2 linked regions of the Xenopus tropicalis genome follow. The protein of the gene in region 1 purifies or fractionates together with the protein of each later gene. This does not show direct contact. Links are inferred from orthologs where the notes say so. Each region holds a gene or a part of one and is shown on either strand. Other genes may lie near its edges.

Region 1 (7,009 bases):
TTCTGAGGTTGCCTCCACAGGGAGCAATTCATTTTTAACAGGAAAAGATACAGTCAGAGAACTACAAGGATATAAACTACTCCATTAACGTGGTTTCCCACACATAAATCTAACTTTTTTCAAGATGACAGTCTATTTTCAAGCACAAATACACCAGAACTAAAGAACTAGAAAATATCTTTGCTAACAGAAAATATTCCTGCTGTCCAGATGTCAGTTCTGAAAGGACTTATGCAGTGTAATACCATCTTGACTATGCAAGTCTTCTTTTACAGTTTTCCCCACCTAAATTGTAACAAATTAATATTAAAACAAACTCTCTTACCTGTTCTGATACTGATCACTAATCTCAAAGTACAATGAGGTCTCAGCAAACATTACAGATGCACAGGCTAGTATTTGTAGCAAGGCTGCATCTGCAGTTGCTTGTTTGTTCCGGAGCGCTGGGGACTGGACGCGCAGGACATTTTCACTTTTTTTTTTTTCTTTTTTTTAAATCTCATGTAAACCCTAGATGCTTCAAAACAAACAAGCTCACCAAGGGCTGAGTATGAAGATGATGGCTGGTTCATGGGCCTAGGGCTGTCCTTTCTGAAAAAACAGCCCTGCAGATATTTAAAAAGGTCAGTTCTCAAGACTGAGCTTCTAAGGACCCAACAGAAAGCTGACATCCAGGGGCCATTCTAAAGACTGTTAGATATAAAATATGCTAAATGGTACTGATGTAAATTGCCTCTAAGGTAGACTGTACAAAAGTGGGGCCAACAACAAGATTCCATTGTACTCTTGCAGGCCAATCCAACCCTTGTATATAAGGGTCTATTGCCTGGAAAACCATTATTATAAAAGCTACAAAATGCAGCACTGCTATTTCCCAAAAGTGTTTTTTTTAATTAAAAAGAAAAAAAAATCTTTTGTTGATGTCTAATTTGCATTTTCTGTGTAATAAGACATTGCCTTGAACTAAAAGTTAACTAAGCTGGTATAAATCCATTTTAATGTTAAAAACTTTTACTGTATGTAAAACCCAGGTAAATATACCTATATAGTGTTAATACAATTTTTTTAAGGCAAATGTAACATAAAAAGTACTATGAGGATAGCGGTATTCTGGATTTTCAAGCTATTTAATCATTTACATGAAAGTTTGCTTAAAAAAAAAAAAAAGGTTTGTGAACAATTTAAAATTTTCTATATTTTTATACTAAAACATCATAAACTAAAACATCATCTGATTTTCAAACAAGTCCTAAAAGTAGATGAAGAAAATTTGGCTAAAAAAATTGAAACAAAAAGTCTTATATTTGGTCATGTATTTATTGAAAAAAATTATCCCTTAAGATATATGCATGTGGCAAAAGTAAGTGAATCCTTAGGATTATCATAATTTGAAGGTGAAATCGAAGTCTGGTGTTTTCATTCGTGTGACGACAATCTGGTGTGAATTTCAAAAACGGGAATCCATCAAAGACTGATCACACAAACACATTTGTGGATGTGTATCATGGTTTGAACAAAAGACATGTCTGAAGACTTTAGAAAAAAAATTATTGATGCTCATAAAGCTGGAAAAGGTTACAAGACTACCTCTAAAGAGTTTGGACCAATCAACAGTCAGACAGATTACGTACAAATGGGGGTAATTAGACCATTGTTACCCTTCCCAGAAGTGACTAAACATCAAAAATAAATCCAACTGCAAAGTATCTAATAGTCTGAGAGGTTACAAAGGGACCTCTAAACAACTGAGGGCCTGTCTCACATTTGCAAATGTTGGTGTTCATGCGTCCACCATTAGGACAACACTGAACAACAATGGTGTGTATGGCAAGGTAGAAAGGAGAAAGCCACTGCCACCCCCCCAAAAATATTATTTTATTTATTATATATATATATATATATATATATATATATATATATATATATATATATATTATAGTATACTGGAAGAATGTTTTGTGGATGGATGACGCCGAAGAAAAAACTCTACATTCCAGCATTAGAACCTTATCCCATCTGTGAAACATCGTGGTGGGGGCATTCTGGTTTGGGCCTGAGTTTGCAGACACTCACAGTTAGTGTACACACACATGCACACGTATACAATTTTTTAATGATATGTGTAATGTTTTTATAGTACGGTCTCTGGACCTGCAGCCTGGCCATGACTCTCTTTCAGTTCCTGTCGCTCTACAGCAACCAGATACCCCATACAATTGTGTGACATGTTTTATTAGATTGTACCTAGATGGTGTTACATTGTTATTACATTTTTTTTTCTATTATCTTTTTTTTTCCCAGTTTGACAATTTACTGAGTGTCCTCATTGGTAAATTATTGGCATTTAGAGGCTTCTTGTTTTGGAAGTTGAATTACACAAAACCACAAAGAGATTTAGAAAGCTTAGGTTGTTCTAAAAACATTATTTCTAGTTTTCCTTGATAAAGCTAAATGCCCCTGAAGAGAGAAAGAAAACAAAATGCTCAAAAAAAGAGAGTGAATGAAATTATAAATTCTGCTGGCACTTGCAGGATTAAACCAAAGTCAATGGCTTAATCTTTTATCAAGGAAACAATTACACTAACGGGCAGATTTACTAAAACTCTAACCTCATTTTTTTTCTTTTTAAAAATTTAAATAAACTAATTTCCACGAATATACTTAAAAGTCTGAACTGAAAAAGTCTGTGCAGGAAAAAGTTGTAGAAAAGTTGCAAAACTGCAATCTTTTCTAATTGTCACATAAAAACCTCTACTTTTTTTGCACAAAAATCCAAAACCTCTAAAGTTTTGAACCAAATGAAGGATCCTCCAGGGAAAAAAGGGACATCTGCCATAGACTTCTACATGATATTGTCAGGTTTTATTTGGCAAATTGTCAGATTCAGTTATTTAGCCGTTTTGACGCATAGTAAACTCTTATTCTTTGACTTTTAGCACAAAAAAAAATCCAAATCAGAAAAAAAATCTGACTGTTTGTGAATTGCCCCCTAAGCATTTGCAGGCAAAATATGGAACTTCTTCAATTTTGTCTGGATAAATATGGTTCAACATGGGTTGTTGTTATACCTATATAAGTCGTTAGCGTGTGACCTTTGTTTCTCCTGGCAAAAACACTCACCCAAATAGTTGCTACGGACCACATCGGGCTCACTCAATCCAAGAGAGCGTTTCCGTACATCCCATATTAGACCAGAATAGCACCGTGACATAGTCCAGTTCCTGTATATCCTTTCAGGCTGGCTTGTCCAACTAGAGAGGATTTAAAAAAAACAAAAAAAGTTACTTGTTTTATCTGTTATGGATCTCCAATCATGTTTAGCACTAGCCTGTATCCATAATACAAATAATGCATGGCACGACAGTGTCATTTGTTAAACAGCTTATGTAGCGCCTGAGATGTGGTACGCCATTCACTTATGTTTCTGCTTCCTGATTGGTTTACTTACAATGGCAATCGGATTTCTTAGCGCAAGGTAATAGCGACTCGTGACTAAACAAAAGCGCAGATGCTTGACTTCATCGGGAAAAACTGTGCACGACTACAGCTTAAAGGAAGGCGGCCACTCTGCCTGTTACAGGCTCCCGCTGTAAAGTTCTGTCAGGCGCTCAGTGCGAGCAATACACAGGGCCGGAAGCGGTAAAGGACGCTCTGACAGCCATGTATCTTACCCACTTCTCCGACCAGCGAACCGTGTTTGTTTGTTTGTGGTGGAGGTGATGAGTGGCAGCAGCTGTAGCAGTGACAGAAATAGAAAAGAGCCTAGGATGGAAATGGAATTGCTCAGCTCAATACGTCACCATGACCTGTAATATAGGAGGAGTTACAGAATCTGAATGGGTGGGGGAGCTGCAGAGTTAGTTGGAGAAAATATTGCTCGAGTTCGGGCTGTTTGTATTTGGTTGCAACCAAAGCACAAGAGATTTTTTAGTAAATTGTGGGATATAGCTCCTTTTACTTTTGCGACTTTCATAAACGCGGGAGGGTTCTTATTTTCCTTTGTGAGGCTATAATTGGCAATACGATGGCCATGACATAAAAGATAATGACAGATGTAGCAAATTCTACACATTGTTCGCTTTAATTTGTATAGGAACCACGCACAAGTGTTGCTAGGAGTGCATTTTCCCTTCTTAAAATGTGCTGGATGGTAAAAGCTGTCACATCTACACTTCTCCTTGGTTCCCAGTGAAGTCTCATTATAGGGCTTCTTGCTTAATAAGGGTTTTTTGTTTTAGGTATAAATGTTAATGGAAGCAGACTAGAACTGCAATGATATAATGCTGCAATATTTGTCTTTATTGGACACTACAGGGTTGATTCACTAAAGTGCGATAACGCTTCTCACATGCTTTTTGTGTTAAAATTGATGTGCAAAAAACGTGCGATTCGCTAAAGTATTATCGCATGCATTAAGTCGCATATCGTATGCGTTAAATAGCGCGCAAGCGCATGCATTAGTATTATTTCTGCGAGCTAATTAACGCAATGCGGTAAGCATTGCGTTAATTAGCTCGCAGAAATAATACTAATGCATGATTCACAAACACTTAGGGGGAGATTTACTAAGGCACGAACGCTTTGAATGCGTCCGAATCTGTTTTTTTCGCAATGATCGGTATTTTTGCGACTATTTCGTCGCCGTCGCAAAAAACGTATTGTTGCGCCAAGTACCAAAGTTTCGGATTCATTCAAGCTTCAGTATTTTGACTTTCCTTTGGCCAGGTTGGAGCTGCAGAGTGCCATTTATTCCTCTGTGAGGCTTCCAAAATCATGCAAAGTCGGAAAGGTTTTTTCCGCCGTTTACGATCGTTCAATACGATAAAGTCACGACGGCGACAAAAAAGTCGCGAAAAATAGGAAAAAGTTGCGACGGCGATGAAGAAGTCATGAAATTTTCGTTTCCAATCCGAATTTTTGCTATTCGGGATTCGAATTTGTGCTTTGGTAAATGCCCCTTAGACACGCTAAATATCGCATTACTCTATGCAAAAATTAACACCTACAGTTCATGAGCTTTTGGCAACACAATATGGAGTTTGCAGTGCGATTTATTCAAATATGTGTTGGCCCTAGAGTGATGCATCCTCCAGTTTGCAGGGAAATGGTCATTTTAAAAAAAAAGTACTTTTACGAATGTAATGGTGTGTATGGCTAATTTGGCGTGCGCGTGATACGTAGCACACGTGCATGAATTAGCACTCGCGACAAGTAGCACGCTGCGTTAATTAGCGCGCGTTGCGTCAAATACCGCACGAAAATAGTCTTCGCAACTTAAATAACGCAAACAGCATCGCGTCTAAATTAACGCAAATATACTTTTAGTGAATTGTGCGTTAAGACACGAAAAATTAGACACGATAAAATTTTTAATGCATGCTATAAATAGCGCTCGAAATATCAACCTTTAGTGAATCAACCCTTACATGTTTTGATGTGTTGAAATGTTTTTCATGATATCATTTTGTAAAAAGAGGGAGCTTTTTTCTTTACAATTTTAAAACTCTTGCCACCACCAAGCACAGCTCTGTGCCACTAGCCCACTGCTTTATTATAAATCATGTGGAGGAACATAGTAGGCAGCTTCTGTGCATGTATCTGCTTAAATTGTTGATTCCAAACAAGACAAGGCACTGGTGCTTTGGGAGACTCATGTTAAGACATTTATGACCAGGAGGCAACGGTATCACTATTATATAAAACAATGAGTGAAGTGGATCCTACACCCAAAGCACATTTACAAAGGGATTATCTTAGCCTGGCAATTATAGACCAGTAAGTTTGACATCTGTGGTGAGCAAGTTATTTAAAGGCTTGTTAAGGGATCACATTCAAAATTATATTCGGGAGAATGGTATTATGAGCAGTAATCAGTATGGCTTTATGAAGGACAGTGTAAAGGTACCTGGTGGTCTATTGGGGCGGCGGGGATGCCCGCTGCCTCCTCCGTTGCGGGGACGCCTGCCTGCTCTTCCTAGGTGCGCGGCCCTTTAAACTCCGGTGCCTTCGTGCGCATGCGCGCTAGCGTCTACGTTCGGCGCACGCATATGACATCACTATGGCGCCAAATTCAAATATTTAAGGCCCTTCTAGCTTTAAATCCTTGCCCAATGTAGGTTCTGCTTCCTGTGAGTTCCTGGGTGTGTTTCTCTTGCTGTTCCTGCCGTGTTTGACCTTAGCCTGTACCTGACCTTCTCTTGTTTGCTGCCTGTATTGACCTTGCCTGTTCCTGACTATTCTTGCCTGCTGCCTGGACCGACCATTGCCTGAGCGACTATTCTATTGGATCCTGACCCTGTACTGCATTGCCCGATCACTGCTGACCCTGGCCCGTCCTGACTACGCTAAAGTGTTCCCCACCTTCCTGTGCCTGCTCAGAACTCTCTCCTTGGGTCTCTCACAACAAGTCCTGGCGGCACCCGAGTAGCGAAGGGCTCCTCCCGACATGAAAGGCAGCGGTTATAGGCAGAAGCATGAGCCGAGCCCGGACCCTTGGAGTCTGTTCTGAGTTTTGGGATACTGATCGTGACAGACAGGTCATGTCAGACAAATTTGATTGATTTTTATGATGAGGGTAGTAAGACGTTGGACAGTGGGGTTAAAGAAAATGTGATCTATTTGGATTTTGCCAAAGTGTTTGAGTTAATCTCAAGCTGCAGGCTTCAGTTCTCTCAATAGTGCCCTTAAGTCTCCCCATATTTCTCCCGTTCAGATTATCAGAAGCCTCATAGGGAAAAAAAACCGCTGAGCTCTGTAAAGAAAGTTCCCATAATGCCTCACTCCTGCACTAAGACCAAGATCGGTGTACATGCTCAGTTTGTAAGACTATGAGGAAGCTTCTTGCTGATTGGCTCAGATCACACATTCCTGAGGGGGGGAGGGAGTTCTTAGCATTCTTAAGGGAGCAGGAGAGAGGAGAGAGCTGCGTGTCTCTGGCACAGGAAACAAAGAGACAACAAATCCTGTTTCTTTTGACAGAGAACAGAGACAGAGCTTATGGCTATATTTA
Region 2 (6,976 bases), on another chromosome or scaffold:
ACTCAGGTGCCCTTTCTGCACTGGTGCTAGATGTAAGCATGAGAGGGGGGAGTAGGAGGGTTTCAAATGGGCATTTAGTTACACCATTGTTATTATAATAAGAAACACATCTCCCTATTAAATCTGTTAAAGCCATAGCTGGAGGTTATCATCTCCACCTGCTATTGGCATCATTCCCACTGTTCCTTCCCAGGTCATCACATTACTATACAAATATAGTGTCTGTAGGTGTATATTTAAGGTGGCCACACACGGACCGATTGTAGCTGCTGATATCGGTCCCTTGGACCAATTCAGCAGCTTATTGGCCCGTGTAGGGGCAGGAACGAGGGGAATGCCCGACCGATGGGGCAGGTTAAAAGATTGCCCCATTGCCGCCATTGTTGCCTACATGTTCCCCGATATCACCCACCCGTAAGTGATCTTCACGTGTATGGGCACCTTTAGTGTGTTGAGTTTTCCTATTGTTCCTCCATGTGTGAAGCCCAGGGTACTTGTCCCGGCAGCTGTATGGCTGGGATCACAGTGATAAAAACTGACTCAAGGTGAAGAAATTTTGAGCGTATTGGACTGTGGATGTTTGTGAATAAGCCCATAGCAGGTATAAAAGTGCAAAATGCAAACATAGATATACTACTATTCACACACATCTATAATACAGTTGTGTTTTTTTCTTTCTAATGGTATTAATATTTGCCTGTGTGTGGCTTCTGTCTGTGGCCCATGGTCTGAATTTATTTTGTGGTTGGAGTAATTGTGTATCTGTGTTGCCAAAACATCAACCAAACTGCTACTGTGCCAGTATTTGTAGGTATTTATTTAATAATGTTTAGCTTAAATTGTTAGTGTCTGTTAAGTAAAACATCCTGAGAAGATGGCTTAACTAAAATCAGAGTTTGGAATCTGTCTGTGGAATTTACATGAGTCTTTCCCTGTGGAAGAATGCCAAGGCAAAGTTCTATTTTTGAAGCTATGGAGAAAAGGGGAAAGTGTAACATTTTATAGATATGGAGCTAATGAATTGACTAGCTACCCAGAGGAGAAGGTTAGGCAGGGAGGTCAAAATGCTGTTGTTGGACCCATCAACCACAGAGAGTATATATCCCCTGTGTAAGTAATGGAATGTCCATAAATGCCATATAAATTTATGAGGCATAAAAGAGACCAAAAAACACATTGGGTATAGGACAGTGGGGTTCTAGAAAATTTTGCCATAAAGCATCCTTCTGCTGTTGTTTTATGATAAGCAAAAAGAAGGTGCTGGTTGTAAACAACTGCAAAAAGATCACCATAGAAGATATGATGATTTTAAAGAACAATCATAACCAATAGAAGACAATGTTACTAGGCAATGATCTCTAGGGTAGAATCTGTTTTTGCCCTGGTCTTTGTAGTGGGAGAATTTGCAAGTAAGAAGTCTGGCTGGATACCAAGTTATGCATGGGGGGGGAGAGAAGTAGGGTGATGTAAACTGAAGCCAAGCTCCTTGGAAAGTGTGAACATATTTGTGGGAAAGATGAAACCTTGCCGGACCTTCACACGGAACCAATAGCTTGACACCGAACCTTGAGAATCTCTTTCCTTAGAACCCTTTCATCTAGAACCACCTGGAAAGTTTGATCCATTACCTTTAAACTGAACTTTTTCTTTCCTCTCCATATGGATCCTTTTAAGGAACAGTAACATCAAAAAATTTATATATTTCAAAGAAATTAAACTATAATGTACTGCTGCCCTGCACTGGTAAAAGTTTTGTGTTTGCTTCAGAAACATTACTAGAGTTTATATAAACCCTGGTGTGTAGCCATGGGGGCAGCCATTCAAAAGAAGAAAAGGCACAGATTATATAGCTGATAACAGATAAACCCTGTAGAATACAATGGTGTCATATCTTATCTGTTATCTGCTATGTAACCTGTGCCTTTTCTCCTTTTTTCCAGCTTGAATGGCTGCCCCCATGGCTACACAGCAGCTTATTAATATAAACTATAGTAGTGTTCCTGAAGCAAACACCCCAGTTTTACCAGTGCAGGGCAACAATACATTATATTTCAATTACTTTAAAACACTTTCATTTTTTGGTGTTACTGTTCCTTTAAGAGCATATGTAGCCATTAATATAATATGCAACATATACAACCTGTTCAGAGTATATGGACCTATATGGAGCTGTCAGAGTATATAGACCTAAATGTGGATTTATTTTCAGTCTCCAAAAAAGGTGCAACTTTTACAAACCACTATAGAGACACCCCACTTTTTTGCAAAATACAATATCATTATGCACTTTCTTTTACCTTTATATTACAGCTATTACCTTCTTCACTTTGTTTCTGCACCCCTCCAGTTCTTACTCCCCCCCACCCACATTCGATGCAAGCCAGTAATCGCAAATGTGATTTTTTGGAGTTATAGATCATTAAAAATGGAGGAACACAGCCAGGACACTTTTGTTTTAAACTTTGTAGTTTTCCTATTTAATGTTTTTGAGGCATCCCCTACACCAATCCCATTCTTCACAGCAAAAAAACAGAATGCACATTTTCCAACATACAAATATAAAAGCAAACCAGATCTTCCTGCCAAGCACACATTTAGCATATATGGCACCCCAGAGATATATATCCCAACCCGGCATGAAAATTCCTCCTGTTTTTATAGACCATATACACAGCATTAAGCATAATTGTAGCCCAGAATTCATACTTTCCTGTGCCAATGGGGTGTCATAGCTAATAACAGAACTGTGCCAGTCTGTAAATGGATCTTAGCACAATATTAATTAAGAAAATTCCTTTACAAGCTAAAGCATTCTTTGTTTCTGTGCATTCTGTGCATTTTACTGCCCCTACTATGAACGTTCCCCTAGCAACCATACACACAGTGCACTGGCACTAGCAGAGAAAGAGTTAACTCTTTTATTGGTCTTAAAATAACCAGTGACAGAGAAAGCATAAAACCCAACCAATGCCTTAGCATATTCTTATGATCTGTGGGGGTGGTAGCTGGGGCCTGTAGCGGATAGATGTCCAGCAATATAAAAGCCAATCCTAAAATCCTGACATTATCCAAGCCAGAAATACAAAGCCTGCCAGTTTTAGAGCCAGCTCTTTAAAACCCAGTTCTTGTTCTAAATAAGGTTCGACAAAGCCAAACTGATATTATGTCCGTGGGAAAGCCCTGAGAATCTGGTATCAGGTATATTAACCATCTAATAGCAACTGCAAAGCTAAAATCTACCCTGACTGTTACCATATTATAGTTACCCTTTAATATTAGTTACAAGATAAAAGCAAATAATTCAATAAATCTAACACAAGGTTAAAACTCTTTCATCATAAACACAATAGGATTACTTGTAGTAGCACAAAACACCTCTTATTAAGTGCTATTGTAGCAGAGGAACTGTATCTGTAGGGCACAGTAAAGTTTAGTTCAGTCCAGGCAAGCTAGAGGTGATGAAAGTTTCTTTTTGAACCTCACTATAAAGCTGTGACATTTGCCACTCTCTGGCTCGGGTCTTGGTGACAAAGCATTCCTTCCTTGATGTCCCTGGTGATGGATGATCAGAGAAGGAATGGTGACAGAGGCAGCATGTCATTCATATCTGAGTAGCCACAATGTTAGAGATTTGTTCGGCAGTTCTGGGTAGAGTTGCCATCTCTTATGACAGAAGACCCCACTGCCCCCTTTAACTCCAAAGACTTGGCACAATTGCACCTCTTGTCTCCTTTTTTGTCATTTTGTAGGATGCAGATGGATACAGCCTTTCAGTTCGCACCCCCCCAACCTCAGGGACACTTACCATCTTGGCAGGTCACCCCAAATGCCTGCAGAGGAGAAGGATGGCAGGAGGTATCTGTTTCCTCTTCTGTACAGACCCCCAAAGCTTTTCTACAAACAGTCCCCCTCTAATTTGTACTGTGCCCATTCACACACCTGCTCCCCCTTCTGCCCTGATTGGATGCCACTAACTTAAAACACCCCCACTCCCAATCCCATGCCAGCTTACCCCTGATTGGAGGGAGAAGCCTTTTACCAAATTTAGCTTGTGCTGGGGGGGCAGTCAACACAAAAATAAAAGACCAGGTAAAGAGGGAGGGGACACTGATGAGTGTGAACACATGGTTCTCCTCTTACTGTAAATAGTTAAAGGGAATTTCCAGCACTAAACACCCCCCCACCCATCCATTCCCTCCCCACGAGAGACTTCCATCCCCCGGATTTATGACAAGGGCTGCAAGAGCCAGAGAAGAATAGTATCAAATGATCCCCCCAGCCCACCCACCCTCCCTTCACAAGGAACCAGATTAGAAGGAGAAGCAGCTGCAAACGTGACCAGCAGTGGCACAAGAAGCAGGGCAATCCATTGGCAATTGCACTGGCAGGCAAGCTCCATACAAACGGCTTTGGCAGAGGCAGGAAGAACTGCAGGACAGGCATAGAGCTGCCTTTCAGTGGGTGCAAATAGGAGTGACTGAACTGAGTCATACTGTAGGGACCAGCTGACCAGCAGTTTTAAGTTGCATCAGTAACACATGTGTGGCCCAGCCAGTGGCCCTTCAGCTGTTGTTGAAGTACAATTTTCAGCAGCCAGTGGCTGGGAGCTATAGTTCAATACACACTAAAGTGCTGCAGGTTAAACAGTTCTACTTTATGCAGAACACACAATGGCTGCTTTTTGGATAACGAAAAAAGCAGATTCTGTTCAGTGCCAGAAAGCTAAACCATTCAGCAGGACTTGCTGTGACATAATTAGAATTTGCTTGACCCCACATTTTATAATAACTTTATCTTTTTTTCTGTATGTTCATCTAATCAGTGCTAGAGTAGGCCTCCTAGAGTCCACCAGAGAACCTGACACCCAGGAACGATTGTGTATAATCTACAGCACTTAGAGGCTTCTGGGAATTTTGGAACAAGAGTTGGAGAGCTGCAGACTGGGCATCATCAACATAAAATCCAAAAGTGTGTACCTGGCCTATACTAACATAATCGCCACCTAATGTCTCCACTTACATCCACTCTATACCACCCCCCTTTAGTTGCTGTCCCACCCCAGCTTTAATTTTTATTTTTAAAAGGTGGCAACCCTACCAATAAATACATAATGCAAAATATGCAAAGCTTTTGCATCTTGTATCACGCCTGCAAGCCCTGTGCATTCGGGCAAATGCCAGAGGGGCTGCAGTAAGATGCCATAGACACCACCAGCCCACTATTTTTTGGGCTGGTGGGGGTTGTTTGGGCCTCTCTGCCCTTGAAATGCCAGGGCCGATTTTGAATCTCAGTCTGGACCTGGACCTGCATACCTATGAATACACCACTGCCTGTTTTTGGCAGCACTGTATCCATAAGGTCATGTTGTGTGCTACATCTTTCAGACATGCAAACTAGGGAGTGCCAGTGGGATGCAAGGCAGAAGGAAACTCTATCCATACTAAATCCATATGGCCTGGATGGGTCCTATGGTACATAGTTTTGCACCCCTTGGGGCTCCAGCACAGACCTGGACTGGAATTCAAAATAAGCCTGTCATGAATCGGCGACGCTCCCTACCTGGCGTGCGGCGGCGTCCTCCCTCCCGGCGCGGCAAATCCAAGATGGCGGCGCCCAGGGCTCCACGTGGGCGCAAGGACGCCGGCGCGATGACGTCACGCGCTATGGCGCAAAGGACGCCAGAGACCCAGGTTCAATGCCCGAGTATAGCTCAACATACCTATTGTGTTCCTGGGTCTCTAATATTCTCATCTGCTTTCCTGTTGCTGTTTAATTGCCTGTTCCTGACCTTGAACCTTGCTGCCTGCCTTAAGTGACCTTTGCCTGAACCTGACCTCTCTATTGGATTATCCTGCATCTGTACTTCGCTCGGACTCACTGGAAGCGGCCTTCCTCCTTGATCCTGACTTCACCCCTCCCGTGGGTGCCGGAGGCCCCCGCTGACATTATACTCGGGCCATGGATCCCGAGGAAGCGGTACCGGACGTCGGAAGAGCCCTTCGCGGGCTGGCGTCCCGTATGGAGGCGTATGAATCCCAGCAAGTCAGAATTGGGCAAGTACTTGATTCCATTTTGTCCCGTTTGCCCGCTACTCCCGCTGTCGCGGAAATTCCTCCTGCTGTGGTGGTTCCTCTGCCAGCGATGTCGCCAGCTCGTGAGCCACGAATACCTCCTCCTCCGCGCTACAGTGGCAATCCGCAGGCCTGCAGGGGATTCGTGACTCAATGCCAGATTCAGTTTGAGTTCCAACCTTCCCAATTCTCCTGTGAGCGAGCGAAGGTGGGCTACGTTATGTCTCGTCTGGAGGGCAAACCACTGGAATGGGCAACTTCTCTCTGGGAGAGTCAGTCACCCCTGACATTTGATGTGAAGGAATTTCTACAGATGTTCAGAACCATCTTTGATGCCCCTGGTCGGGTCGCTACTGCCTCTTCACGCCTGCTGCAAATCCGCCAGGGCAGTCTCGGTGCCAGTGAGTATGCCATAGACTTTAGAACCCTCATGGCGGAAACTTCCTGGAATGAAGAGGCTTATAAGGCAGTCTTCTACCAAGGCCTATCGTCCCGTCTGAAGGATGACCTGGTATCCAGAGATCTACCTGACTCCCTTGAAGATTTGATTGCTCTCGCTATTAAGGTAGACACTCGCCTTAAAGAACATCAGGCTGATAAAGAGCGGAGTAAAAAGTCTCATCCAGTCCTGGCTCCGCGCTTCCAGAACCCTATGATACCCCCGTCTTCTCCGCAGTTTACCACTTCCCCTTCGGAGGAACCCATGCAACTTGGGAAGGCTCAACTATCTGCACAAGAGAAGCTTCGGAGACGCCTTTCCGGCCTATGTCTGTACTGCGGCGGACAATCCCACTTAGCGGTTTCCTGCCCTGTCAAGCTGGGGAATACTCCTGCTTCAAGTAAGACTGTTGTTTCTTTTGCTGGTAGTATTGTTCCTAAGTCAGCGGAACAATCTCACCAATTTC

Evidence for each region. Proteins that work in one complex are often made in the same cells at the same time.
Region 2: the proteins of dcaf6 (region 1) and tnnc2 purify together in Homo sapiens (affinity purification with mass spectrometry; 3 studies listed by BioGRID and IntAct, with this or other methods). This does not show direct contact. The link is inferred for Xenopus tropicalis from reciprocal best matches to the Homo sapiens genes DCAF6 and TNNC2.

Annotation. Positions count from the first base shown.
Region 1 is NC_030678.2:72,901,078-72,908,086, forward strand, and holds the start of dcaf6 (DDB1- and CUL4-associated factor 6), read right to left. Parts: upstream 3,668-7,009; 5' UTR 3,449-3,667; intron 3,252-3,448; 5' UTR 3,212-3,251; coding exon 3,121-3,211; intron 1-3,120. UniProt on the Homo sapiens protein: Ligand-dependent coactivator of nuclear receptors. Enhance transcriptional activity of the nuclear receptors NR3C1 and AR. May function as a substrate receptor for CUL4-DDB1 E3 ubiquitin-protein ligase complex.
Region 2 is NC_030686.2:19,703,637-19,710,612, forward strand, and holds the start of tnnc2 (troponin C, skeletal muscle), read right to left. Parts: upstream 3,875-6,976; 5' UTR 3,809-3,874; coding exon 3,806-3,808; intron 1-3,805. UniProt on the Homo sapiens protein: Troponin is the central regulatory protein of striated muscle contraction. Tn consists of three components: Tn-I which is the inhibitor of actomyosin ATPase, Tn-T which contains the binding site for tropomyosin and Tn-C.